4 linked regions of the Rhinolophus ferrumequinum genome follow. The protein of the gene in region 3 interacts with the protein of the main gene of each other region in a pairwise test. Links are inferred from orthologs where the notes say so. Each region holds a gene or a part of one and is shown on either strand. Other genes may lie near its edges.

Region 1 (7,536 bases), on a different chromosome or scaffold from region 3:
GGCGTTCCTGCGGCTGAGGGGGCTTCTGGTAGAGGCCTCCCAGGGTAGTCCGACCATTCACTTCTAACTTCAATACAGTCCTTTCAAAATCTGCAGTTGTAAATTCCCTCCTCTTTTTTTTTTTTTTTTTAGTGCAGAAAAGGAGGGAACAGATACACTGCAGAGGCCAGACGTGGGGGAGGGGCAGTAGGACCACCCAAGATGACCCAACGGGTCCCTGGCAGAAGCACACACTTGCCTGAATGTGGTACACTATGTGCCAGAAACTGGAGTCTGAGCCTCGGTACCGTCTGCCAGGGTAGAGCTGCCACATCAAAGGCAGCGGGCTGGGGGGCAGCTGGCTGGGGCGCATAGCCTCCCCCCGGGGGATGTCTTCCTGACGTAAGAGTACTCGGAGGCCATCTTCTGTCTGAAGAGAAATGAAGACCAGAGCACACCTTCAGGGTTCCCCCAGGAACAAATAACTAGATTCTTCCTGCCACTCGCCTGGCTGGCTGGCATCTGAGATTCTGGGAAGCACTGTTCTAGAAACTCTATTCCTTAAGCCATACGTGCTCTCAGGGACTCTGGCTGGGCCAGGACATCCAGACAGGGCCACAAAGGCCCACTTTTCTGACGAACTTCTAGTAGCTAGGCTGTGCCACGGGGCCCTTGAGCTTCCTTAACTCTGCGGTTTGGTGCCTACTTCAGCTGATGTAGGATTTTCTTTATTTTATCATATATCTTTTTTTAAACAAGATATCCCTGGATCCCAGAATCAGGTGACAGACCACTTTTTGCCATCCCCATCTGGGCTACTTCGATGACTTCCTAACTTGCCGCCTGGTTGGTCCTGTACTCCCCAAGTGTCAGTTCTCGGCACAGCAGCCAGGGTGTGTGGCTAACAATCACGTATGTCACTCCCCTCCCTGTTGGACACGCTCCGATGACTTCCTATCAGAGGCAGAATGAACTGACATCTTTACCATAGCCCACAGCCCCACGTAGCCGGGCCTGTCTCCCTCCTCTCCTACCGTCTGTCCATCACTTTCCATCCTGTACCAGCCACACAGCCTCTGCACTATTTCTGGGACGTGTGACACTCCCAGTAGTCTCTTTCACCTGTTGTTGTCTGCCCGGAACATTCTCCCCTAGGTCTAAGTGGGACTCACACCCTTTTTTTAGGCAGGAATCTACTCAAATGCATGTCTTCTATAAAGACAAATTTCAGCAAAATCCAATTCTAGATATACACAAGAGGCATACCTAAAACAGAGGTTCCAGAAGGTTTCAAATTAAATGGGCAAAAGCATGACAAGCCAATGGAAATTAAGACTCCCTGGGGGTCCTGCCTGAAGACCCGACACCCCACTGGTTTTGTCTCTCATTCCACCTTTGTTCTCCTACACAACTTAACACCGACCTCAATTATCTATGGTCCTTCTCGCCCAGTAGAATGTCACCTTCACAAGTAGTGGGATTTTTATCCCATTCACTGCAAACCCCCACGGCCTAGAATCATTGTTGGAATATAAACTAGGCACTCATGTGTGTTCAACGACTATTTTTCCAAAGTGGAAATAGCCTCTAAAAGTTTTCTGTCCATGAATGAAAGTAGAACTCAGGGTTAAAAAATAATTCAGATCATTCTGCAAGGTGTAGATGTGGAAATCACCATTCTTGTTGTGTTAGTACATAGTCTTCCATATCCTTTAACCATTTTTAGTTTGCTTATTCATCCTTTGCTTGTTGATTTACATGTTAAGAATACGCGTCTTAGTTACGTAAGGTAAATCCTGTCGCACTGTTTGCTAATGCATTAAGTTTTGTGCAGAATTTATAATGATTATGTGAAAAACTCTGCTTTGTGGTTTCAGTCATTTTGAAGAAGATATTCCCCAGCTGGAGATTAAAAAGATTTTCACTTAAATTTGTTTTAAATATTTGACTTAAAAAAGTAAATATTTTACTTGATTTTAAAAAGTATATATATATATACATATATACCAATAAAGATGCAAATTTAGATGGTGGAAACCCAACCCCATTACCTAACTAGCAGTGTTACTTTGGACAAATTTACATTTTTATGCCTCAGTTTCCTCACCTGTAAAATGGGGACACAGTCACTACTCAATAACTTTTTGCTATTTGCTATTACATAAAGTTCTAATATTACATATTTTAACTTTGGTTTTATACTTTCTTACTTCGGTTTACATATGGAAAGTTTCTGCATTTTCCACCTAATTTTCTTTGAGGCAACCCATGCTATGATGGAAAGTACTTAAAGAGAAATAGATTTCTTTTTAAAAAAAGTTATCATTAACTTAAGTTCCACCTTAAGTCATCACACATAAAACAAAGTCAACATTTATTTAATACTGGCTTTTATACTACTATATTATTTATATAAGTTTGTGAAGTCTGTTTACCCCAAACTCTAGGGCGGTGGTTCACAAACTTGGTGATCACATCTATTGAGGGTCCTTTTAAAATACCGATTTCTGGGGCGCACCTAAGGAGACTGATAATCGGATGCACGTATTAATTATTTTAGAGAGATATTATTCCCATTTTATGGCTTAGGACCCTGAAACCCAGAAAATTCCTCTTTTACTCAAGATCACATTCACACACTCCCGAGGCACTGGGTCCCCATTCTTTGGCCAACATATCTTTTTCCCACACTCCTTCCTGGCCTGGAGAACTACTTCTCCTTAGAGACCAGCTCAAAATGGTTTCATCTGTGAGCCCCGAGCAGATCAGGCCTTCTGAGCCTCCCTGCCGCTGCACCTGAGGGGCTCCTGGAAGCCGTGCACAGCCTGGGACGTCTTTGGCACCCAAGGGCTGGCCAGGGATGGTGACACCCATGCTGCCCTGCCCTGCCCAGCCCAGCCCCGGAGTGGCTGTACCTTGATGGAGATGGGCAGCCAAGTGCGCTGGTTCTCGTCTACATAGACGGCCTTTCGCCATATCCACAGGTGGTCGGGATGCAAGGCCGTCTGCACGCTGAACGGGAGCTCGCCCATGACCCTCCGGCGCTCTAAAGCAAGAGCCAGAGCCTCCGAAGGCCTCTCGCTTGTTGATGGGACGCAGGACCTAGACGCTTTATAGCGGGATGGCGCGGGCGCCCCCAAGCGGCAGGGCGGGAGGAGAATGGGAAGCAAGGCAGGCGGGGCCCAGGGCAGGATAAGGCAGCTGCGCAGGGCAGGATGGGCCAGGCCCAGGGCGTGGTGGAGCGACCCACAGCATCCGGAGCTGCGCCTGCGCCAAGTCCTGAATTGTGCCCTGGATCCTGGCGGTGTCTGAGCGCACAGACCCGGGAATCCTTGGAGGCCAGCCGGCCTTGCCCTCTGTCCCCAACTCTCCACTGATGCGGAGGTACCCTGGTCTGTAGCCTTGGCCCTGTCTTCTGTCCTGAAGCGCTGGCGCCCTCCTCTAGGACCCCACTGTCCCATCACCCACGGTGTGTGGCTCTTCGAGCCACACCCCATTCCGTGACTCACAGCCCACACCAGGCAACCCAGAGCCAGCGCCCACTCCATGTCTGCTGGGATCCGAAGGGACCCTTGCAAGCCGGAACAGGGCCTGGACTCCCCCAGGTCATGTCATCACCTCCAGCCTGTGGCTTTGGGTGTCACAATCAATTTCCTCCGCGAAGTGCGACTTTTGAAGCCCTGCTCCCACTTCTACACAAAAGCCATGCATTTTCCACAGCTTTGATGCTGCTGTGCGCATCTAATAGCTATTGTGAAACATGGTGGTGAAGAAACAGGGCTTTTCTCTTTATAGGCTTTGAATTCATTACTGAAAATGTTCGAAATCAATACTTGAAAAGAAACCCTTCCCTCCACTCCAAGACTCCGATGGATATGAAAAAATCCCTGGCTTATATGACCAAACTGTCTCTCTGTAAATTACAGCAAATAAGGAAAACAATTTTACTGCATTTTGCCATAACACGTGTCCGTCAAAGCGATTAAGAAAATAAAGTGCAAAATAGAAATGTGTAAAACGCACTCCAGCCTCAGTGCTCCAAAATCACCACTGGTAGCAGTTTGGTGCCTCATCCTAGCTCTTTCCTGTCCCTCTGACTAGGCACCTAGAAAATAAGTTGTGGTCTTCTTAAATGTCATGAAAGTGAGGTGACTATCTGATCCCCAGGCAGCAAAGATATGTATCTACTTCTCTGCCTATCCAGACAGCCCAAGAAGGGGCAGTGGTGGCCGCCAGTAATAGAGGTATAATTGGATTTACCAGGAATGTAAAATGGAAGACAAAAACCAAGTAAAACTGGGAGCCGAGGGAGGAGACGCCAGCCCAGCAAAGCTTTTTCCCAGTGCAGCCCCTAGTGGTGTTAGTACTTAATAGTATTCAAATTTGTGGCTTTCAGGCTGATTTCCCTGGGGGTTGTTTTTACTTCCAGATCCAGATAGCCCCTGGCAGCCGAGACTATGTGGTAATACGCTCTGTGGGGGAGTCTCAGCCTCCTCCTGAGCTTTGAGGTTGAAAATGGTAAACGAGTTCAGTTTAAACAATACTGCTAGTGTGGCCTCTTGTGGCAAGGGAACGGGCACCCAGGAGCCATGTGGCCACTGACGCAGCCACATCCATGGCTCCGGGACCCGGAATGCCACCGGGTCTGTCGATTTCATTAGCAGTTGTTCTGCTTTCCTAAGACGCCACAAAGGAACACATAATGGGACAAGAATCAGACCCATTTGGCTGGCTACACTTCTTTTCTGAATGTTTTGGGAATTTGATCCCCGTCTTTGAAAGAACAATGTACTTCTTCAGTTTCACACGAGGGCTTCTTACTATTGCGTAAGAGAACGCGTCATTATTGGGAAGGATTTAGAAAATCGTTTGAGAAGGGGTTCCAGAAAATGAAAAGTGAAAGAAGGCTGATGAGGAGCCTTCTCTATGGCATTTCATGAGAGGGGAAACAACGTCTGTCGTGTGGTCTCAGAGACAGGGAGCCTTTCCAGCATGTTCTCAGCCCCATCTTAGGGCTCTACAGCCCGTCAGTCTCACTTTAGCGTTCTGTATTCCTTCCAACGCTTTGTTTATTAGTCTGCCAGCTCCCTGAGAATAATCAAGTGGATGTTTCATGCAGAAAGTAACGCAAAGCAATTATTTTGACTTTTTTTTTTTTTAAGAATTCTTAATTGATGCTGTTGTGTCCTGACTTGGATCCACTTTGGACTTTGACCTGTGAAATTTGCCATCCTTTGCCATCTCATTGCCACACTTTTGTAATGAATGGGCCAAGCTAGGTGTTCTCTAAGCCCATGTCTAACTAACAGACCCTGAACCTCTGATAGAGTTGCCTAGTGGGAGGAGGGAACGGTTAACAGAAGATAAGATTTAATTCGCGACCTTATGTGGGGACAGAGCCAGGAGTGCAGTTTCCAGGCTCTCGGCCTCACGTGGAAAGGTGCTGGCTCAGGTAGTAAATGGCCATCAACTGTGATTGGATGGCCATCAGCTGTGGCTAGTTGGCCGTCAGCTGTAACCAGTGAGCCATTGGCCACTAATATAACTGCTGTTGCTACGCTAGCAGAAAAATGAGGGCCTAGCAAGAAGATGGTGGCTGAGCTAGCAAGCGCAGATTGCAGTTAGCACGGCGCATTGCAGCTAGCAAGTGAGGTGGATTGGCAGGGAGAAGTGGACGGCAGTTTGCGGATAGTGTGGCTCCTGCTTCCTGTGTTTCCAACCCAGCTGCCAGCGAGACTCTAGTGATATGACTCCCCTATCTATGGCTCCGTGGGTGTTCCTTTTTGGCCTCACCATGTCCTGTGTTCTTATACGGGAAGTGGGACCAGAGACCCCGCATGACATCCCACATGACACCTTAGTTCAGGAAAGCCTATAGTTTTGAGCACAGTGGTTCTGGATATCAAGGATTCCAGTGGAATTCATTTTTCCTGAGTGAGGAAGCCATCCTTCTTGTCGGGTTCCAAAGAAGGTCCTTGAGGGTGAGTCATGGCCAGCAGTAGGAACCAGAGCCTTGCTTCCTGAAGGCTGGCCCCCGGACCACCTACGTTAGCATCACTTAAAGTTCATGAGAATTGCAGGATATCGAGCCCTCCCCAGACCTACTGAGTCAGAATCGGCACTGTAACAAGATCCCCCAGTGCTTCATGGGCACGTTACAGAGGCAGGACCAGGAGGGAGAGATGATAGGTGTCGGCCTCCTTCCACCAGTCCCTCTAGATTTCTCTGTGACCCAAGAGCTGAATATGTGTCTCTGTATCATTTAGTTCTAGGTTATCTTATGTTCTGTTACAATTGCTGCTAATATATCAAGTGTTTTCCTCTTTAGAGAAAATCCTGGTAACCATCACCCATGATTACAGCAAGCTGTAATGGGCCTGTAAAGGCATCCAGGCCTGTGGGCCCTGCAATGGCCCCAAATCATTAAGCTAGTGGAGCGCAGCCCTGACTGCTAAATAGAATCACCTAGGAAGCTTTTGTGAAACAACTGTGCTTGGACCCCACCCCATACCCATGAGGCCAGAATTCCTGAGATGCAGGCTTGGGTACAACTTTTCTTTTTTTAGGGTCTCCTCTGCTAATTTAAAGTGCAGCCAGTCTGACAATCACGTCTCTATGATTTGAATTACTGTTTTTGAGGTGGGAACAAGATTTATAAAACTAAATAACTGTGAAAATGTTAAAGCTATTCTTTCTACCGTCAATTCTCACTGTATACCTCACCCCAAACCTGCACTTTACTTCTTTCCCTGTGCCCTACTTTTAGTTTCCTGCTTCCCGTTTTGTGTGTGCAGGGGACCATAGCACCAAGATGATTAGAATTGTAAGGGTCTGAGATCTCACCAACAGGTAAAACGTAGAAACTCTGATATGTAGATATCAAGGCGTCCATGCTGGTCACCTGGAATGGTTTTTAAATTATTCCTAAGTCTGGGTCATATTTTAGATAATTAGGGCGGATGATCAAGTGAAGTCAGGGTAAAAAGGAAGTTATAGCTTTTATCCAAAAGGATGAAATTTAACCTCTCGATTAATGGAGAAGCTGGGACAAGGATATTCTACGTAAAACTTGGACCGAGCTTGGCTTTACCCACAGGTGGCTACTATTGCTCTCTTTAAACTTAACAGAGTTTTAAGTTTTAAGCGCTTCTCAAACTTTAAGGTGTGGGTGGAGATCTTGTCAAAATGCATTTTCTAATTCGGAGGGTGGGGTTGAGATACCACATTTCCAACAAGCTCGAGGTGAGGCTGATGATCTGGGAGCCCCCTCTGAGTCCCAAGACCTGATATTAACCCAGTACACACACAGCGCACAAACGCAAAAGCCAATGCCCCCAGACCCCCTACTCAAAACGCACCAAAGGGGGTGACCCGACAAGCTGGTAGAGTCAGCAGCATGTAGTAAACTTGCAATGGACAATTGGAGCTGGAAATGTGGCTCCCATGGCGCAGACACACACTAATGTTCCCCTACATTTGTATCAGATGCGTTTCTCAAACCTAGGATTATTTCACACTTTGGGGATTATACCCACAGCATTACTGGGGCTGCCTCTC
Region 2 (6,977 bases), on a different chromosome or scaffold from region 3:
CACAAGGACAGACACCGGCCACTAAAGGACGCAGGAAGAATACTGAAACTGAACCTGGGTCTGCCACCATCGGGCCAGCTCCAAATGCGTGTACACTGCCTTCACTCTGATTCATGGCGCTTTGTTACAGGGGTCATCTTCCAGTACAGATCTCAGCAAGATAGTCCTTTATTTCCCCCCTTCAAGCCTGTCAGAGGTTCCCCTCTGCTCTCAGGATGGAGTTAAGGTCCTTGGTCAGGTGATGAAAAGCTGCCTTCCAGCCTCCTCCGTGACCCCACAGAACCACCGACAGGCACTGCCCATTTCACAGCTCTGAGCCTTTGCTCCAGGAGCTCCCTGAGCCTAGCCTGTCTCTCACGATGAGTCATTCTCAGTCCTGAATGCAAATCCGAATCATCTGGAGAAATTAAGGAGCAAAAACAAAAACAAACAATGCCAGGCCCTTGTTTGATAGAATGGTAATGAATTAGAATCTTTGAAAGTAGGCCTGGGTATTGTCTCAGTTCTCCAGGTGATTCTGATTTAAACCAGGCCTGCCACCACTGGAGAGGCACAACTCCCTTCCTGCAGCAGGCCCGTCCCAGTTATGCTGTAACAGTAACAGTCACGCTGTAACTCAGCCCAAGGACAGCTCCCACCCTGCTCCTAGACGGAACACACAGAACCTGACTTCGGGTTTTGCTAGATGAGTGACATTAAATCAGGAAATGTGAAAAACATGTACTGTGCCCAACTCACCTGAGAGCCTTCCTACAAATAACAACTGGTGACTGTCATATTTAAAATGACACGATGCCCCCAATTCCTCATGTTCATTCCCTCACTTACCTCTTAACAGTGGAAGACAATGTACATTTATTGAGCAACTCCGTGCCATACACACTCAGGTCATCTCAATCCTCACAAGAACCGAGACAGGTGTACAACTTATCTCCAACTTACGGATGACGAAACCTGTAAAAAACATCAAGTATTTGCACATTGTTTTATATGGTCCGTACCATGTTAATTTTTTTTTAATTGTCTGTCTTCCCCACAAGACCCTAAGAATGACATTTGTTCCATTCACTGATACACACCTGGCAAACACCTGGCCAGTGCTCACTATTACTGAACAAATGTTTTTTGTTAAATGACTAAACAGCACCCAGGATGCTCTCCTCTCTGCTTGTGAGCTTCATTCTGGTCACTACAGATCACCTTGCTTGTACCCATTGCACCTAAGCTCAGCGCCCCTCAGCTTCTTCCACGAGACCAACCTCATCTCAATTCTAGTTAAAAGGTCATTTAAAAAATTCTAGTTCAAAAACAAACAAACAAAAAGAGAGCATGGTGCCTACTGTGGACTAATCAAGTGAGTTCCAGGCGTCAAGCCATTTGTGAATAAGGAAGGTCAAGAAGATACAGTTCCCAGAAGTAAGGAGTATTGAGAACATTGGGTAAATTTCATGACCATTTTGTGCCTCAATTTCCTCATCTACAAAATGGGGGAAATCCAACATCCTAGGATTAATATGAAAATTAGACGAGATAGTCCTTATGAAGTCCTTAGAAGTGTATGCCTGTTACACTGTAAGCCTGACTGACAATTACGCAGGACTACAATGAAAAGGCTTACATATATTTACCACAGCAGGCATTGTTCTGGAACAGGGGATTAGCAAACTTTTTCTGTAAAAGGCCAGATAGTAAATATTTCAGACTTTGCAGTCCATCAAATCTCTGTATGGACTACCCAACTCCAGGCTCTTATGGAAGAACAACAGCCATAGACAATACATCAATGAATGGGTATGGCTTTGTTCCAATAATTATTTTTTTCAAAGACAGGCAGGCTGGATTCGGCTGCAGGCCAGTGTTTGCTGATTCCTTTCTAGAGCAATGCTTTGTTCAATAGCAATGTAATGCAAGCCACTGACAGAATTTAAAACTGTCTAGTAGCCATGTTAAAAAACAAACAGGTGAAATTAATATTTTATCTAACCCAGTGTATCCGAAATACTGCCATTTTAAGATGCTATCAATATAAACGAATTACTGACATATATTCTTTTTCATACTGATTCTCCAAAATTCGCTGTTTACACTTACTGCAGAACTCAATTCGGACTGGGCACAATTTCAAGTGCTCAACACTTAGGTAGCTAGTGGCTACCATATTGGACAACACAGTTCTAGTGCATATGCGAATATAGATGCTTACATACCTATACCCCTACCTTCTGAATACGTATCAAAAATAGAGTTTACACAGCACCAGCAAGAGTGGGCCATAAATATCCGTGGACCAAATGCACGTTAAAAGCTTGTAAATATTAACTAATACTACAGTATGGGCAAGGTACATACACCTGGCCTAAACCCTAAAGGGGAAAGATCAAAGAAAAATTTCCAAAGGCTGCTAACAAATCAGCTGGAACCTAGATCTGTTTAGGCCTTTAGATCTAAGATCTAGAGAGAAAATTTAAGTTTCCAGCCGTAACACATACACCTCTCCAGTTACACAGGGAGCCCCTCGTCTATGGAGAGAAATGATGCCAAATGTTGGTAGGGGCGTTGCAGTTCCTGAACAGCCACTCAATACTGCGCTGGGGTCCTCTCACGTCAGGATGATCCCTAGCAAAGGTGCAGCGAGTGCGAGGGAGCAGTCTAAGGGCCCGCTCTGGTCCGGGTTCGGGTTCGGGTTCCAATGGGTGTGGTGCGACAAGCAAAGCCGGAGGCAAACCGTCCCCGGGTGAGTCTGGCCCCCAGCCCAGAAGCAGCGGCGGCACGGAGCAATCTGCCCACGCCGCGACCTCCGCTGGAGAGGAGGAGACGAGGGCACGTTCGGGCCTACCCGGCCCAGGTAACACCGAGAGCCTCCCCAAGCAGGGGTGGGTTTCCCCAAGCAACGGTGGACAGAGACCCCAGCCAACCCGCAGTGTGTCTCACCGAGAAGCGCAGGCGACGCCTACGTGCCCTCACTGACCCCCTCGCCCTGAGGGAACTTCCGGTTCCCAGGGCGGGACCACGGCGGCTCAACCAATCCAAGCCCGCAGACCAAAGAACGCAGCCTGGATCCAGCGCGTGCGTGCAGTGGAGATGGCGCCTGCGCAGAGGGTCAGCGCCCGTGGGCCCGCCTCTCCGTGGCTGGGTGGCGGAGGCCGTATAGTCCAGCATCTCGGCATGAGTTGAAAAAAACTAGCCCGGCTAACGTTTTTGGGCAGCAAGATTTGTTGAACTACTCTGTAGCCTATCCTTTTTGCTTCCAGTCAAGACAGTGCTCAGCTAAATGTTGACAAAACTTTGGACAAAAATATGAATTATTTATTTAACGCAGTAATTAATCCAACAGTATTTACTGCACCCCTAGCATGCATCAGTTTGATACGAAAGTAGTAGACATTCATGAAGTAGCCATGTGCATCCCGCGCTAATCATCTATACACATCTTTCCGTGCAAGGGTTCAATAAAACCAAAGTGATGGTAGAACTAGAATATGTGGCAGCCTTCTTTGCTGATCCCCTCCTATAAGGTAACTTGGGGGAAGGTTCAAGGAAGCAGGGCTTTACTCTGGATTGAATGCTGTCAGGAAGCAGGTGATTCTATGATTGAGCAATGTAATAAACCTTACCTAGAAGGAGGGAAGACAGACCAAGGTTACATTTGTAATTAGTAAAAAATAAAAGTAAACAAAACCCAGCAGCGACTCAGTTATAAAAACTGTTGAAATACTGCCGGTCCATCCTGGATATAGCCTAAGAGATTTTAGTTTTAAAAGGCTATTGCAATAAGATTGTTTGAATCACAGAACAGTGCAACACGTATAAATCTATGGAACAGGCTGGGCTCCGTAGGGTGCACGTACGAAGAGACTCTTATTTTTTTTCTCACTACTGCCTTGAAACAACCTCTGTGGGCTCTCTCCCCTGCCCATTGGTTCCTCCAGGGCTGGAGCTTGAGGCTTAAGTAAATCCCACAGCTTTTCCAATGACTCTCAGGTATAAAGAAATAATCTTATTTTTAGGTTGTTAAAAAGTCCATTCTAATCTAATATAAAAAATTCAATTATCCAATTAAAAGCTCCGACCTTTCCTCAGCTCAGGTGTGGTCTGTAACTCTGGGACAGCAAAGGGGAAAGACATGGATCAATTCCTTCACCGACCTTATTGCAACCTTTCCGCACTGCCTCCACTATTTTCTGGTCTCTCTCAGGTGAGGGCAGGAGGAGGAAGGAGCGGTAAAACGTCCTCCCACCAAAGATAGATACGTACCCCCAGAATCTCTGAATATGACCTTATTTGGAAAAAAGGGTCTTTGAAGATATAATTAAGGATCTTGAAGTGAGAGCATCCTGGAATACCCAGGTAGGCCCTAAATCCAATGACAAGTGTCCTTATAAGATACAGAAAAGGAAATAAACACAGACACAGAGGAGAAAGCCACATGAAGATGCAGATGCACATTGGAGTTGTGCAACCACAAACCAAGGAATTCCTGGAGCCACCAGAAGCTGAAAGAGGCAAGGAGGGATTTTCTCCTAGAGCTATGGAGGGATTGTGCTCCTGCCAACCCCTTGAGGTTGGACATCTGGCTCCAGAACTGAAAAAATTAAATTTCTGTTATTTCGTACAATGAATAATGTTGTTACCTGGTATTGGAGTTCTCTGTGTGCTGATGTCCAAATGCTGCCTCTTTTGTCCTTTTGAGATTTTTTTTGGAGACACCCCCCCCACCCCTGTTGCTGGAAGCCCCTTCTCACCTATTCTCAGATGATACACTGTCTGGTTGAACACCAGCTCTTGCTTTTGGTGGCATGTCCCCACCCGGCCTTTTTCTGTTGTGTCACCTCATTGCAGACAGGCCTCTTGGGCAGGGTCCTTCCAAAACAGCCGAAGGCCAGCTGTTTGCTTGATGTGCACTTAGCCGAGGGGAAAACCCCAGCCATTCTGCCCTTCACTAAGCCCTGGAAGCTGAGGCTGCTCCCTCTGCAGCCGCTCTCTGCCCTCACACTGTATTTCCCTGAAAATAAGACCTAGCCGGACCATCGGCTCTAATGCATCTTTTTGCTCCCAAAGACGCATTAGAGCTGATGGTCCGGCTAGGTCTTCTTTTCGGGAAAACACGGTAGGTAGCCGTAGGCAGCCCCAGCTGGCTTCTCACCTGTTGAGTTTTTCGGAAGAGTTGAGCACCGTTTCTTGTGCCCTTTCACGACAGGAGAACCTGCCAGTCTCTCCAAGTGGTTCTCTCAAAGTCCCCTCCACTTGCCTGGAAGGCAGGAGCAAGCTTCCAGAATTGGAACAGCCCTCTTTCACTCTTGCCTTCTCTTTTACATAAGCTGAAGAGGGGTGAGGGGCCATAGATGGCAGAAGTAGTTTGGGCTCTCCACTTAGCCTTGTGTAAGTGGTCTGGCATGTCTCTAGGATCAGTGGGTACTTAACAGTGTGCTCAGTTTTGGGGCCTTGGGCGAAACTCCAAGTCAGGAAGAGTCCCATTTAACATTCTCTTGTACCTGTAGTCATCTTTAGGCCATGTCCATACCTCTTGTTCGCCTTTCCCACACCATGAGTCCATTTTTGTTGTTTCTCTAGAATGTGCATTATTCTACCATAGATTTATGGCAGCAGATTAGCAGAGAAACGAAGGACCAGGAAGTCTGGCTTTAATCAATTCTTGGTGCAGATCATAGAATGGAAATTCAGAGGCAATGAGACAATATTTATACTACTTGGTTTCTGGGGATGCTTCAAAATTCCATTTAATCAGGAAAATATAGAAAAGGTACAAAAAGAAATAGGATGAAAGGACGCCAATTCTATTCAAAAACCTCTGCCTGCCTACTCAATTGCCGTTTGCACTGCTGTGAAGAAATCTGAGCTGAAGCCTACCCCTGGGATTTCATTGTCAGAGTGGCTTGTTACCAGAAGGAATAGTCTGCCAGTGATCCTGATATGTGGACTGCTCCAAGAAATACCTCACTTCATTTTGGTTCTCAGGTTTTTCTTTTAAAGGGAGGTCGTTTTGTAACAGCAGTTCATCAGAGTGGCAAGACATAAGCATTGAACTAAAAATCATTGGCCTGTGCTGCTTCTTTGTCTTTTCTTCTTGCATCATGTAGCTTCAAGGCTCATTCTCATGGATTGACACTGTACACACCATGCACAGCCCTCCTTTCATGATATAACCTGGGCATGCTGCCAGAAGGGACCATTCATCAACAACGACAATAATAAAGGATAACCATGTTCACTCCAGGTCTTCTAAGTCTTCAGGGGGAGACACATTTGGCCAGAAGTGTACCATTCTGATTTACGGTGCCCAAGAGAAGCATTTTTCCATTTCAGCCTCATTTCCTCCCCATAACGACCTAACACATTATACTTGCTGTATCATTGACTCATATAATAGTTTTTATTAGTTGTTCTTCATTTCAAACCTGATGCAAACACCACCTAGTTTTCTAGCTGCTGGAGAGAATGAAGGCATCGACTCCTTTGTCATAAGAGTAAATCATTTAGATTGGTATGTTGGCTGGGACAATGACAAGTACTCAATCCCAGCTTTTATGTGATGGGGTCCACGTGGTGGACATCGGTGGGTTTGGGCCAATAGCTTTCAGCCCACTTCCTGCACAGCCAATCAGGTGCCCCAATTTGCCCTAGCCAGGGGGGCAGCCACATGACCCAAGCTGAGCCAATTGCACAACCCTCCCCAGAATAGGTATTTTGAGCAGAGTAATGTGGACAGTAACATGGTGACAGGTCATTCTGGCAATGGTGGCATGCTGATCAGCAATGGCTTCCCCCATAGCTCTGCTTCTAGCCCTGCAGTCCATTTCTAAGGCTGGATCACTGGTCTTCCACCTGCCTGCACACTCCTGCTTCTTTGCTGTATCCTCCCTTTGCTGTAAGTCAGCTGAGATCTGTTTCTGTTGCTTGCTACCAGCAAAGACTGACAACAGCCCCTGTCTTAATGTAGCTGTGAGATTTGAGAGCCA
Region 3 (6,826 bases):
GGGGTCTATGGTCGAGATGAGCTTCACCCTGAAGCCTTCCAGGGTGCTCCAGCACTCGTCCTCATTCTCGTAGTCCGACATGGCGGCAGGAGCGGCTGCAGTCTGGGGCAGCAGCTGGGAGGCACACCCGCTCGCTGAGCGGTCAGTCCCAGCCAGGACCCAGGCCTGCCATCACGATGCCAGCCAGGGCTCTGGGCAGAGCCTGACAAGGCACCTGTCCCCGTGTGCAGCCTCAGCCCACACCCTCCCATCTTGGCGACCAACAGAGGGAGGCGGCAATGGTACAGTGACCTTGTTCCCCCCAGCCTTTCCTGGGCTCTGCTCCCACACCCCCTCACCCCCTGGCCCTCTTGGGCTTTCTCCCCGAGTCACTGGGTGAGTGTGGGGGCACAGTGTGGAGATGCTCCACGGACGGGTGCTAAGAAAACACTGTCCTCCGTGCATGGCCGTCCTTGTGCCTCTGCCTACTCCTGGACACCCCAAATGCCACAGAGCTGGAGCTGGCAGGGAGGGCTGCCTCCCAGCCACGAGGTTGTGGGCAGGAGGAGCTGTTTGTGCCAGGTGCTGCCTGCTGGCACAACCTCCCTGGCAGGTGTGGGGAGGGACGCTCCAGCCCCTGGCCAGCCAGTGCCCAGTCTGTGGTCAGAAAGCACGTTGACAAGTGACCCTCCCACCTGCACACCGCCCTGTGCTCTGCCAGACTTCCTCATTCCCCGACTCAGCACCCACTCATGTCCCAGTCCTGTCCCCTCCTTTCCTTCCGGTGGCCAGCCGGTGATGCAACAGTCACCCAGCAGCTTTTCCAGGGCTGGCTGCTCCGAGTCTGGCTCAGTGACACTGCCGGGGAGGGTGACCGTGGACGCCTACGGAGCACAGGCCCAGCCACACTGGGAGGGGCGGTGGTGTCTCCCAGGGCCGGCCGATGTGCTGCCTCAGTGCCTGCTCCAGGTGCTCGGGTCCTGGGCTCCTCTCCTGCCTCCCAGACTCCGAGTCCACACACTCTAGACCACACGCTCTAGACCACACGCTCGGGGACTACCTATGCTAGGACCACCCACTGCTGTTCCCTTCTACCAGCAGGCGGCAAACCGCTCTCTCCAGGGCCGGGCCAAAGCCGGGAGCAGCCATGTGGTGGTTGCACCCCTCTGGGGGGTGGGGACGGAAATCCTGGCCCGGCCACCTCAGACAGAGCCTTCAGTCCCCAGGAACTAGACTGCGCTCCCAGAGGTACAGGTGGCAGCAGGCCTGGTCCTTGAGGCATTTCTCTCTTACGCTGCACCTGGCCACCCCACCCGGCCCAGCAACAGCCAACGTATTGAAGGAAAACAACAACTCGGTGGATGGTCCTTGGGACCTTCGGCCGTTCCCTGCCTTTCTAGCCTAAAACACGCAGGTCCCACACCTGCCACCCTGCTGCTGGTGGCACTGAAATGCACCGGCAGGTTCCAGTGGCTGTGAAGGGGACAGAGCAGGAGAGAGGAGGCCACTTGGTGTCCTTGAGATATTTGCTCCAGGACCAGCTCCCTGCCCCAGAAGCGCTGAGCAGAGCCGCAGTGTCTTCCCAGCCTACCTCGGGGTCCTGAGGGGGCACCGTCGCCGCTGGACGCCGGCCAGCCTGGGCCACCCGATTCGGGAGGCAATGGGAGGTGTGCCTGCAGCCGGCCGAGGGAGGGTGAAGCCCGGGCGGGAAGCCTGTGCTTCCTCCTGACTCTTCACTCCAGGGGCCCGGCCACTTCTCCAGCAGAGGAAGGTCCCAGGTGGCTGCGTTCTGATTGGCCAGCCAGGGCCCCGGAAGGCGGGGCAGACAGAAGTGGAAGTTGATGACATTCAGAGGAAAGCTGCTGGGAGCAGCCCGGCCCTGGCACCCCACAAAGTGCAAGTTTGAGCAAAGGGTCTCCCTGGGGCTGGACGAGGCTGACCCACCATCAGGTCTGCCTTGGTCCAGACGCAGGCTTCTGGAGGCTTCTCCAGCAGGGGGTGCTCTGTGCCTAACACCTTGACCTCCAGCAGCCTCGTGGGGACGAGCAAGGCCGGCACGGGACAGGCATACATACGGGGTGTAGGTGGGGAGACCTCAGCTGGGGACTTGAGGGCATCAGCCCTGACTCTGGCCCCCAGCTGAGCGCCCCCACACAGCCAGGCCAGGCAGGCTTTGGTCACCTAGGGACTGCAGTGTGGTGCCCAAAGGGGCTGGGGCTGGGGAGGCCGCTGCAGGCTGCACGCGGCCCCGGGCCTGCCTGCCTGCCCCACACTGCAGCTCGCTCAGCCTCACCCCTTCCTGGGAGCATCTCCACTCTGCAGCCCCTGTCCACCAGCGCTGATGGGACAGTGGCGGCAGCCTCCCAGGACCCCGATGCACTCCCCATGGCCCATCACGCGTTTCCGAAGGGTGTTGAGCACAGAGTGAAGCTCAGGCCCTGGCCACGGCACCAGTCCTCCGTGGGCCGTCGGAATCCCCAAGCTACCGCCTCACTGGGGCAGCCAGACGGGTTGAACCGAGTTGTCACCTGCCGGGCTAAGATGACAGCTACTGGAAGGGGCTGTGGCTGGAAGGGCAGGACTGGCAGGATGAGCGTCTGACTGGTGTTCCTGGCCCACCTTCCCATGGCACCACACCTCAGCCTCTGTTCCTCTGCCTCCTGGCCCGACAGGCACTTGCTGTTTGGCCGAAACCTTGGGAATCCTGACACGACCAGGTGCTGCTGCGTGGCGGTGGCAACGTGACGGACTGGCCCTCTCAGAGGACAGCAGCGGCCCGACATCACCCTGGAGGAGTGGGTGACCAGGGGTCCTCCCAGGCCCTCAACGGAGCAGCCCCCAGGCTGGGCCCGCCACAGGAGTGGGTACGTTGCAGGTCCACTGTGACCTGACATGCCGGCCTGTGCTAGGCCCTCCACTACCCACTTTCCCCACTTGGTCAAACAAGACTAACAAAGGGGCACGAAGTAACAATATGCTGTGTTCTCAGTGCATCAGGGTTATGCTACAGATCAGGAATAAAGCTCCCGGGACAGGCCCTGCATACTCGGAAATTAAATACACGCTGGTCAGGGACCCACAAATCAGAGAAAGTCACAAGGAGAACAAAATGGGTGGGGAGCACTGCGCACAAAGCACGCGTGTGCACACACAGGCAACCGAGTGACGAGTGGCCCATGGGAGGTGTGACACGTGGTGTCTGGTGGGAGGGAAGGGAGACAGGTGCCTCGTGGGAGGCTGGGGGCCAGGACACACGCTGAGCACCTCAGAGGCTGTAAACCGAACCCCCGCCAGTGTTCTTGGCCGAGGGATGGAGACTGTGCTGGGGCTCAGTCTCACGCTGAAGAAACGCCTGCACAAGAGGAAGAGCGCCTGGGCAGCCTGTGTGGTCCGGACGGCAGAAGTGGGTCCCCCTCGTCCCTGCGGTGGCACCCAGATGGCTGGCAGCCACGAGCGGTTGTCGTAAGGCGGCCGCTGCCTCCTCCCCCATGCCCTGCGGAGGCCCAATCCCTCTGCATGTCGTCTCATAGCTCAGGACAGACCACAAGACTCTGTGGCTTGCTTTTTAATTAAAAAATAGGACATTTACTTAATTCCTTCAAATATTCCAATTTGCACTTGGGACCAGGTGAGCCTGTGACAACGCCGTCACTGTGGGCAGAGCCTACCCGGCCCCTGGCCGCTTTCTCCTTCACGGTGAGCGGTGGGATCCCGGGCCGGGTGGCCCCGCCCCATCGCAGCAGCTGTGGGCATCCAGGCCGGGCAGCCCTGGAACACAAGGACACCTGGGTGGAGGGCTGTCCTGACCCCGCCAGACCCCCGAATGGCCCTGTGGAGGAGCAGGAACCAGAGTGGCACTGCGCCCTGTGGGAGAGGACAGGTCATGGAGCACGGGGCGGGGGGGGGGCTGCAAGTGTAATGTCCCCTTTGGAGCCCCGCCCCCTCCTAGTCCACAGTCCGAGGAGCCGGCTCCCGCCTCGGGGGACCTGCCGGCCATGGCCTCCTCCCTCCCTCGTCTGTTTCATGAACTCCGCCTGTGTGTGCTGAGCACCTACTCAGTGCCTGCTGTCTGGGCTCATGTTCCAGGCAGACAGTGGACAGGCCGTGGCCAGGCAGTCACGGAGTAGCAAGTGCATCAGGACAGACATTGGGATGGCCACGCCGCCTGAGGACGGTGGTCAGGGAAGGTGTGTCTGAGGAGCTGACCACTGAGCAGAGGCCAGGATGGAGGGAGGGGACAGCAGGAAGGAAGTGCCAGGAGACATGTGGCAGTTGAAGATTAGCCTCCTGACCCTGGACCCACCCTAACCCCACAGAGCCAGGCACACAGGTGGCCTAGCCCCCGTGCCCCGGGCAGAGCTGACGTCAGGGCCCCGTCCCTTCCTGGTGCCAGGCACCAGCTTCCCACACTCACCCTGCTGCTCACACTAGCTTCCTCCGCTTCCGGGTGTGTCGAGCACGCCGGGTCCTGAGCACATCAAAGTCGTCATAATCGTTTGGGCAAGAGGGGGCAGAGCCCTCGCCAGGGTCTGGGGCTCCCTGAAACAAAACCCAGGTGGGGGGACAAGAGTGACCCTCCAGCTGGGATGGGCAGCAGCAAGGAGCCAAGGGGCCTGTGGATGCCGTGTCCCCAACACCTGGGACAGGCAGCTCCTCAGGCTTATGCTTGCAAAGAGCAGTTCCCAGGCAAACGGCAGTGCCAGCAGCAGCAGGTGACCCCAACACACGCACGGGCTATGGCAGGCAAGGACCGGGAGGGATGCTGGGGCCACCTGTGGGCTCTGGCTTTCTGCTGACCTCACTCCCCCCTGGGGTCTCCAAACCCCTCTCCATAGCCGAGAGCCAGCATCATGTGTCATGGTCCCCCTGGCTGGGCCAGCAGGGCAGTGACCTGGTGGCGATGGAGGCTGCACATACAATGGGGGACAGGGAGGCTCTTCCCTGTGACGTATGGAGTCCAACAATGTCTTCCACTGCACGTCAGCCCAGAAGACAGCCCTGGGAGCCCTAGGCAAGGCCCCAGGGGATGGAGGTGACGTTCCCAGCAGGCCAGGGTGGACTGAGCCTGCAGGAAAGGTGGCACAGGCCCCAGCACCGCCCTGCCTCCTGTGTGGCCATGGCCGCCCCAGGTGGGGAAGTGGGGGGACTGCTTGTGGAGGTGATCTCTGGGGGGGGGGCATCGCATGCTCCCCACACAGCTGCAAGGGCTCTGGACAGCCTCGCTGACATGGCACAAAGTGCCCAAGGCGGTCCAGCTCTCCTACTCAGCCTGGTTAGGACAGAGGCGCCTTCCTGGGGACTCCTGGGCACACACAGCCACAGAAGATGTGGGACACCTTCCTGCGTGTGTTTTTATCAGGTTTCTGGTTGGGAAATCGGGATGAGGATGCCGCCTCCGCAGCTTAGAAAGCCTCCTGACGGGGACGGTGCCAGAGCTGACACCTGGAGGGATGTGGCATCCACAGAAGAGCGTGTGCAGGGCTGCCTTCTACATGGCTTCCAGCCCCTGCATGTGAGGGGCGTGTGTGTGGGGGAAGCCTGGCGCCTAGGCCACTTTCTCCCTGACAAGCCTCATGGCTGGCAGCCCCAAGAGCAGCTGGGGATCTCCCCATGTTAGAAGTGAGGTTCCTTTCCCCCAATTCCCACACTGGCCAAAAGGGGTGGCGACGGCTGCACCACCTACACGCCACCGGGCAGGCTGGGAGCCAGCTTCCTCCTCCCCAGAAACCCACCAGCTGTCTCTCCTGGCCACGACTTCCACTTGCTCTGTCCCCAGCCCCCACGCCGCGCACTCTGGGCAGGCCACACACTGCAGGTAGGCAAGGGTGTCCTGTGGGGAGCAGGGAAGTGGGGTGAAGGCTGTGTACCTACGGCCACCTACCTGAGCAGGGCTTGTGGCCGCCGACCCTTCCTGGGGACTGCCGCTCGCCCAGCAGCCTGGCTGCCTGTGGCCACCAGAGAGCTCCAGCTGCCCCACACCGTCGTCTTCACTCTCGCTGTCCTCACTCTCGGGGTCTGCCCTCATGGCTGCTGACAGGGTGGTGGGGACACCGTGAGGGGACAAGGTGGCCAGGAGTGCGGGGAGGGTGAAGGTCGCCAGGAAGCGCGTCTTCAGCAGCAGGTAGGCTGGGCTGTGCTGCAGCGGTCCCAGGGAGGCCTGCGCGGCTCCCGCTGCCCCACCTGCCCCACCGGGCACCACCAGGGCGGCGGCTCTTCGCTCCAGTGCTTTCTTGTGGAGGAGGAGGCCGGACAGTGCGCGCAGGCTGCACAGGGAGGGGGGCTGGTAGGGGAGCCTGCTCCTCAGGGGGGGCACACACACCCCCCGCTGTCCCCTCAGCCACTCCCGCACAGCCACCTCACTCTCCTGGGAAAGGAGACCTAGGTCCAGGGCACCCTTCTCAGGCCCAAGCCGGGGTGGCGGTTGCCTCTGCAAGTCTGGAGGCCCCCTGGTCTCCCCTGGCACTGAAGGGGACCCCGGTGTCCCTCCCGGGCCATCACCACCATGTAGAGGCTGCTGGTTGGGCCGTGCTGCAGGGTGGTCAGCCAGGAGTGCAGCCTGGGAGGCTGTCTCCCCAGCCACTTGGGCCTCTCCAGGGGAAGAGTGTCCCCCAGGGGCACGGACCCCGTCACTGTCCACTTTTACAGGGCTCTGGGATGGCAGGGGTGTCGAAGGGGTCACGAGGTCTGTCCTGGAGCGAGGCTCTGAGTCTGTGCCCATGTTGACCAGGCCCTGGCCTGCCTGAGTCTCAGTCAGGGAGGGTGACAGAGTCACCAACAGCCCTTTGGGGTCAGGGGTCGCTGCCGGCTTGGAAAGGCCCACCATGGCTGGCATGGGCACGGACAGCAG
Region 4 (7,109 bases), on a different chromosome or scaffold from region 3:
AAGGACCACCCACCTACAATAAACACTCAACTCCTTACTTGGTCAAATAAGGCCCTGAACGAGCAGGCCCTGCTGACCTCGCCAACCTACTCTCTTCCCCTCTCCCTTTCTTCCCCTCACTCTTTCCCAGTCTTGTTGGTTTTCTTTCAGATCCTTAATCATACAAAGCTTTTCCTATCTCACGGCCTCTGCATATGCTGTTCCCTCTGCCTGGAATGTTTTTCCCACCCCTACTCTTCAAATGGCTACTTTTTTTCATTTATCAGACATTGACCTAAATGTTAACTCATTTAAATAGGTTCCCTCCTACTTCTTTTAAAAATCATAGTAACCTGTTAATTTCTTTTCCAAAATTTCCCATCTTATGTTCATTGTTCATTTTTCTTTATTATGTAGCCTCCCCACCAGACTGGAAGCTCTGCAATGATGAGAGCTATGTTTGCTTCATTCACCACTGAAGAGTCAGTGACTAGCTCAATATTTAATTTTAATAAATGCTCAATATTTGATTTTGAAAAAGAGAGAGAGAGAGACCCCATTAGGAAACTCAGTGAAATTTTAACTGTGGAAATTTTAACTGCTATACCTGTGTCATCATCAACCATGTAACAAAGCCTATGAACTGATATCTCCAGCTGAGGCTAGGTTCAAGGAACATGCCTCAGTGCCCAGTATGGGCAGTCTTGCAAGGGGTAGGGGGGCTTTGGCAAACGGAAGAGGCCTACTATGACAGTTGGTTCTCTAATCAATCTTGTGTGATGGCTATGGTATCTGAGTTTACTACATTTTATAGATGACAAAGTTGAGCCAAATTAACCTTTAAAAATCAAGGTGCAGACCCAAGCCAGCTTGGCTCCCGCACTCTCTTTCCTGCCTTTTCAGTGCTTTTTTCCCCACCCCAGTATCCTCTGGTTATCAGGCAATAAGGAGCAGATTGTCCAGGTTTGCTTTTGGGTCCTTCAAGTGTAGTGGTCACAAACAGTGTCAAATTGATAAGACTTAACTTCCTTTTTTGGGGGGAGGGAGGTGTAGGATTCTGTCCCTTTGAAACTAATCTCTCTGAAAGTAATTAAGTTTCTAATACAAATTTGCAGTTTGATAAGGCATTATGGAAGTATACTGCAACTATAGAAATAACTGACTCCTCTACCACAGCAATCCAAAATAGAATTTAATCTTTGGGCAGGTTGTTCAAATGACAGTCTCACTGGCAGTAGTTATTATTATTACTAATTTATACAAACTGTTATTTAGATACGACACACATTCTCTCATTTGGTTCTCATAATATCCCAGTGAGGCAAGAAAGAGAGACAATTATTATAGTTCTTTTACAGATACAGAAACAGAGATTGAAGGAAATTACATCTTAATGTCATCTAGCAAATAGCAGAGAATGGGTCATATAATCAGGACTCCAAATACTCCATTCAAATTTTTTTCCTCCATCACTTTGTCTCCTTTCTTGGCTACTAAAGTTGTGTTGAAGGAAAACTTTATCATGAATGAAACTGGCCCTTAGACTCACTCTGGTTCATGTTCAGGGTCTGAATAAGCCTTACTCTGGATAACCTCTAATAATTTACATCTGTTGGTGAAATGCTGACCATAAAAGGTGTTGCTACAGATTTTCTGATTAACGGTTTTAGTATAGTTTAAAGAGATTAGAATTCCAAAATATCTACTGATTTCTATTAGCCCTGTAGACCATAATGTTTTGTATCTGAGAGGCTTGGGCAAATAGTATTAAGAATCTTTAACTGGAGATTTATAGCTGCAGGTAGATAGTTAAAATTCAATGTTTCTATATTTTAAGGGAATAGCACAGATGGCAGTCTTGGCCCTCTACCTGGTGGACAGGTGTTCAGGACACACATGACACTGAAAAGTATCAGTGAAAAGGCTGTCTCAAGCCAACCTGAAAAGGCATTTAGGAAATACTGGGTCTTCAGTAATTTGCTTCTCTGGATGCTTAACTACTATATCTGTGTCTGATGTATCCACTGAACATTTGATGGTTTTAAATATCGCCTCTTATGTATCGAGTTAAGATGCACTAATAACCAAGATCTTAAGGTGACAACAAAACACACTTCTGACAGTACAGTTGATTCGCCTGAGTTTTATAGATTATCCTCTATGGGGGTAGATCAGTCTTCCCCGAGTCAAAAATTAAAGGGAATATCTACTTCTGATAGATGCTGGAGAATAAGGACTAAGGTTCTGTACTTTGCACTCTAGTCTAAACAGAGTGAAGTAAACGCTAAGAAATTTTTACAACAGTCTCTTTGGTGAAAATTAGAAGACTTTTCAACGCCTCGCCCGGTTTTGAGGGGTTTTCATGGGGCCAGAAAGAAGGTGCTGTGCCAGGATAACCGGATAGGGAGGATCTGGGCAGGGCGCCGCGTTTCCCAGCACGTCGCTCAGCCCAGCGGGGAGGTCGACCGGCCTGCACCCAGCCAGCGCCCAACCCTAGCCCACGTCCCGCCCCTACATTACCAGCGCCCGCGCCGGCCGCACCGCCTCCTCCCGCTCTTCCTGTTTCTCCTCCTCCAAGGCCGCTGCCGCCAGAGCCTCTAACGGGTCTTCGCGTTGGTACTGGGCCACCCGCACCCAGGTGTTGGGATTTACCGGGGTTTGGAGACTGGAAGACTCCAGCTCCGCCGCTGGGTGCGAGGCGGCCATCAGCTCGCCGCCGAGGCCTGAGCGCCCGCGCCGAGCCGGGGCTGGGAAGCTGGCGCGGCCTCTAGCTACCTGGCGACTCCCTGCTTGGAGTGGGCGGTTACTAGGGGCACGGTAACTAGGGACGCTACAAGGGCCGCGAGGGGCCAAAAGTTACTGAAAATCCTCGCACGCTGCAGGAGTTTCAAGGCGGGCGCTTCCTGGATGATGGGAGTTAGAACTGAGTCTCTGCTGGTTTATTGGAGGGTTGGCAGGCAGAACAGGGCATCGCTTCCCCAGCTTCGCGCCTCACCGCCTAAACGCAGACTTCTCACATTATACTAATAAAACAACTCGTTTTGTAAATAAAGAAAACAGCGCCTTTTCATTCATTGAACTAACATGTTAAAAGAAGACGGCGGCGTTAGAGGAAAGCAGGGGATATTATTGTGTGGGGTCTCAGAACAGTGGCAAGGTTTGCATCCTGCTACCTAACATGGCTTCCCTAACATGGAGTCAGAGAATGGAAAAGAGTGCGGTATTTTACTTTGATTGACTTGAGAGCTACCAGAAATCGACCAATCCAAAGAAGGCTGCGAGGTACGCGATTTTTCTTGGTCTGACCAATAAAAGCCCAGAGTTGGGTGGGGCCTAGCCCACCCACCAGTGAGTGACAATGTAGGTGTTCGCTGCTTGGTTTAAATAACTTTATAGTGGTGGTGGAGGTCGCGAGCTCCCAACAGTAACCAGAGACACACCACATCTCCATCTCATCCCATTAACATTTCCCACTGGAGATTTGGGCGCTTCAAACGGCACCTCCCTTCTAAGCCACGTGGCTGTTAAGAGAGGCCTAGCCTGAAAATAGCAGACATGGTGCAGCCTCAGCCACCTGCTACCTAAGCCCCCACTTCCTGAGGCTGAGGCTGTTGTAACTTTCCCTCTCTGTTCTCCAGCCTCCTCCTGCCTCCAGCTCCATAACCGGCCATGGACCATCACCACCATAAAGTTAGTGTGCAGCATGTGCTGTCTAGAACTCAACTCTGAGATCTGAGCCCTTCTTACCAAGCCTTTCTTGTTCACAGGTCTGGTGTGTGAGCACCTGCAAAATCCCCCCCACTCCCCCACCTCCTTAAGCTGCCCTTGGTTTGAGCTGAAGTGTGCTTCTCACACTGAACAAATACTGGCTCAATTCGGAGCAGAAGCCAGAGTTGAAAGCACATGAGGTATGGATGCCCCAAGTGACCATAGTGGGGACTTCCAGTCATTCACATGCAGCTGGTTCTGTGGCTGCATGTGCCTGTCTTGGGATTTGGTATAAGCCCGACCCCAAAACAGCAAGATGTGTCTACATGTTGAAGCACTACAAAAGACTAGGCAAGGATAGGCAAGAATAGGATTAGATAGGAATAGAATAGAACATGTTGTGTATGTATGTAGAAGAGCTCATAAGTTTCCATTCACCAGCAATATTCTAAATTTATATATACCTAATAACATAGCTTCAAAGCATATAAAGCAGAAGTGGACATGTCATGCAAGGTGGCATGTGGGGTCCCTGGTACCGCTCGCCACATAAGAATGCAGGATATGGTGAGGCCAAAAAGGAGCCATAGATAGTGGAGTCATACCACTATATTCTCGCTGGCAGCTGGGTTGGAGACACAGGAAACAGGATCCACACGATCTGCAACCTTCCGTCCACTTCTCTGCTAACCAACCAACCCCCCCTTGCTAACTGCAATCCGTGCTTACTAGCTCTGCCACTGTCTTCTTGCTATCCCCCATTTGCTGCTAGTGTAGGCACAGCAGTTATATTAGTGGCCAGTGGTTCACTGGGTACAGCTAACAGCCAACTAGCCACAGCTGATGGCCATCCAATCACAGTTGATGGCCATTTACTACCTGAGCCAGCACCTTTCCACGTAAGGCCGAAAGCCTGGGAATTGCACTCCTAGCTGTCCCTACAGGACAGAACTACAAGAAGAAAATGACATCTTAAATCATCATAAGAAGAATTGTTTTTGCACTTTTTTGTTTTCATTTTTATTGGGGAATATTGGGGAACAGTGTTTTTCCAGGACCTATCAGCTGCAAGTCAAGTTGTTGTTTTCAATCTAGTTGGGGAGGGCGCAGCTCACTGGCCCATGTGGGAATTAAACCGCTGACCTTGGTGTTATGAGCCCTGCACTCTAACCAACTTGTTTTTGCACTTTTGTATTGAGATGTAACACAGTGAAATGAGTATGAGTAGATCTTAAATGTATAGTTGGATAAAATTTGACAAATGCATACACTCATGAAATCATACCCTTAAAATACAAACATTTCTATTATCCCAGAAAGATCCTTTATGCCCTTTTGCCATCTATTCCCCATTCCATCCCCTTGACTGTTCTAGGACTTCATATAAATGGAACCATACAATATGTATTCTTTTTGCTCCCAGCTTCTTTTGCTCAGCATACTGTTTGTTTGTTTTTTGTAAGATTCATCCATGTTGAATATATCCATGAGTAGTCTGTTCCTTTTTAATTGCTGAGTAGTATTCTTTGCTGAAAGAGAGAATAGTTTTCCAACACTGGAAAAATTTTCCTTTTTTTTTTTTGGTCCTGCTCATAATGTGACAGTTACAGACAGGCATACTCTTAATATGCAGTATTTACATTGTTTTTATCACTTTCTTAAGTTTATCCATTCACCAGTTGATGGTCCTTTGGGTTGTTGAAGGAGAAGTGTAAGAGATTTATTGGGGGAAATTTCTGTGAAAGAAAAAGGGAGTAGGAAAGTCTTCAGGCCAAGATATAGTCTGATACTTTAGAAAGCGAAGAGGTGGGGGAGAATAATCCAACCTAATAACAAAAAAAAAAAAAAAGAAAGAGGGGGGGGGAGGAAGTACAGACATACTCAAAGAAAGTAGAAGGAAATAAGCACAGAAATTAGATAAATGGAAGAAATTAAAGAAATGTGCAATAAAGAAGATTTGAGCCCTTCTTCCCAAGCCTTTGTTTGCTGGTTTGTAGTGTGAGCAGTGGGGAAGCATCTCCCCCACTCCTCCAATAGAGCAAAATGAAGCTAAAATTCATTCTTTGAAAAAGACTAATATAAGCAGAAAAATCATAGAATTATCTCAACAAATACAGAAAATGTATTTGATAAAAATTGACATTCATACATGATTAAAACAAAAACTTAACTAGGAATAAAAGGAAATTTCCTTAACCTGATAAAGGACATCTAACAATAAACAAAAATAAAATTTAAACAAAATAGCAAACATCTTAACAGTAAAAAAATGGGCAAAACGAAGATGCCCACTATATTAGTTATCTACTGCTATGTAATGTACTACCCTAAAACAATACACATTACTCCACATAGTTTCTGAGAGTCAGAAATTTAGGGGAGTTTAGTTGAATTGTTCAGGATCAGGGTATCTCACAAGGTTGAGTCAAGCCATTGGTTAGGGCTATGATCTTCTCAAGGCTCAACTGAGAATGGAGAATCCACTTCCAAGCTAATGAGCTTCGTTAGTCAACATGTGGTTGTTGACAGACCTCACTCAGTTCCTAGGTAACTATTGGCCAAAGTCCTCTCCATAGATCTTCTCACACCGTAGCAGCTTGTTCCTCTTAGAGCAAATGATTCAGGAGAGAGGGAAAGCCAGAGTGTCCAAGACAGAAGGCAGTGTTTTATAATTTAATCTTTAAAGTCACATACTGTCACTTCTGCTTTATGCTATTGATCATATGCTGTCACCAAATCCTGGTACAATGTGGGACAGGGACTACTAAGAGTGTGATACAAGGAGGCAGGAATTATTTGGTGCTACCTGGGAGGTTGACCACCACACTCACTGGTCATTTCTATTCTGCATTGTACTCTAGGTGCTAGCCAGAAAGAAAGGAAAGGGGCGGGGGGAAGGTATAAGGATTGGAGAGGGAGAAAAAACTCTCAAATGTTCACAGATTGCTTGTGTAGATCTCCCCAAAAAATAGAGGTAAATTATTAGAGTAATAGAGTTTAACAAGGTTTTTGGATACAAAATCAATTCACAAAACCAATCCCATTTCTTTTTGTGCTTTATTTTGGATAGTTTCTAAGGTCCTCTCTTCAAGTTTGCTGTCTTTTTCTTTGGTAATGTCTAACCTGATATGAATCCTACTCAGAGTACTTTTCTAAATGATAATGAAATTTTCATTTTTAGATATTTCATTTGGGTCTCTTTTATATCTTCCACTTCTCTCATCATGTTCATATTTTCTTTTACATCCTTGAGCACTTATGGAAGATTTATAAAAGCTGTTTTAAGGTCTGATAATTCATTTGTCATTTTTAGGTTTGTTTCTCTTGGTTTTCTCTATTATTGGTCATAGTTTCCTGCTTCTTTGCATGACCAATAACTTTTTTCTAATTTGTTTCTTTTGTGATAAAGTACACATAAAATC

What was found.
Region 1: the proteins of CARD9 (region 3) and TCL1A interact in binary tests that used the Homo sapiens proteins (3 or more experiments, as listed by UniProt). The two-hybrid records come from large-scale screens. The link is inferred for Rhinolophus ferrumequinum from reciprocal best matches to the Homo sapiens genes CARD9 and TCL1A.
Region 2: the proteins of CARD9 (region 3) and TCEANC interact in binary tests that used the Homo sapiens proteins (3 or more experiments, as listed by UniProt). The two-hybrid records come from large-scale screens. The link is inferred for Rhinolophus ferrumequinum from reciprocal best matches to the Homo sapiens genes CARD9 and TCEANC.
Region 4: the proteins of CARD9 (region 3) and FAM161A interact in binary tests that used the Homo sapiens proteins (3 or more experiments, as listed by UniProt). The two-hybrid records come from large-scale screens. The link is inferred for Rhinolophus ferrumequinum from reciprocal best matches to the Homo sapiens genes CARD9 and FAM161A.

What each region holds. Positions count from the first base shown.
Region 1 is NC_046289.1:7,766,668-7,774,203, reverse strand, and holds the start of TCL1A (T-cell leukemia/lymphoma protein 1A), read right to left. Parts: upstream 3,012-7,536; coding exon 2,895-3,011; intron 410-2,894; coding exon 239-409; intron 1-238. UniProt on the Homo sapiens protein: Enhances the phosphorylation and activation of AKT1, AKT2 and AKT3. Promotes nuclear translocation of AKT1. Enhances cell proliferation, stabilizes mitochondrial membrane potential and promotes cell survival.
Region 2 is NC_046284.1:116,519,771-116,526,747, forward strand, and holds the start of TCEANC (transcription elongation factor A N-terminal and central domain-containing protein), read right to left. Parts: upstream 3,020-6,977; 5' UTR 2,932-3,019; intron 2,915-2,931; exon of another isoform or gene 2,490-2,914; intron 955-2,489; 5' UTR 878-954; coding exon 829-877; intron 1-828.
Region 3 is NC_046295.1:82,446,491-82,453,316, reverse strand, and holds the start of CARD9 (caspase recruitment domain-containing protein 9), read right to left. Parts: upstream 3,016-6,826; 5' UTR 1,571-3,015; intron 166-1,570; exon of another isoform or gene 135-165; 5' UTR 82-134; coding exon 1-81. UniProt on the Homo sapiens protein: Adapter protein that plays a key role in innate immune response against fungi by forming signaling complexes downstream of C-type lectin receptors.
Region 4 is NC_046296.1:27,370,332-27,377,440, reverse strand, and holds the start of FAM161A (protein FAM161A), read right to left. Parts: upstream 3,003-7,109; 5' UTR 2,686-3,002; coding exon 2,500-2,685; intron 1-2,499. UniProt on the Homo sapiens protein: Involved in ciliogenesis.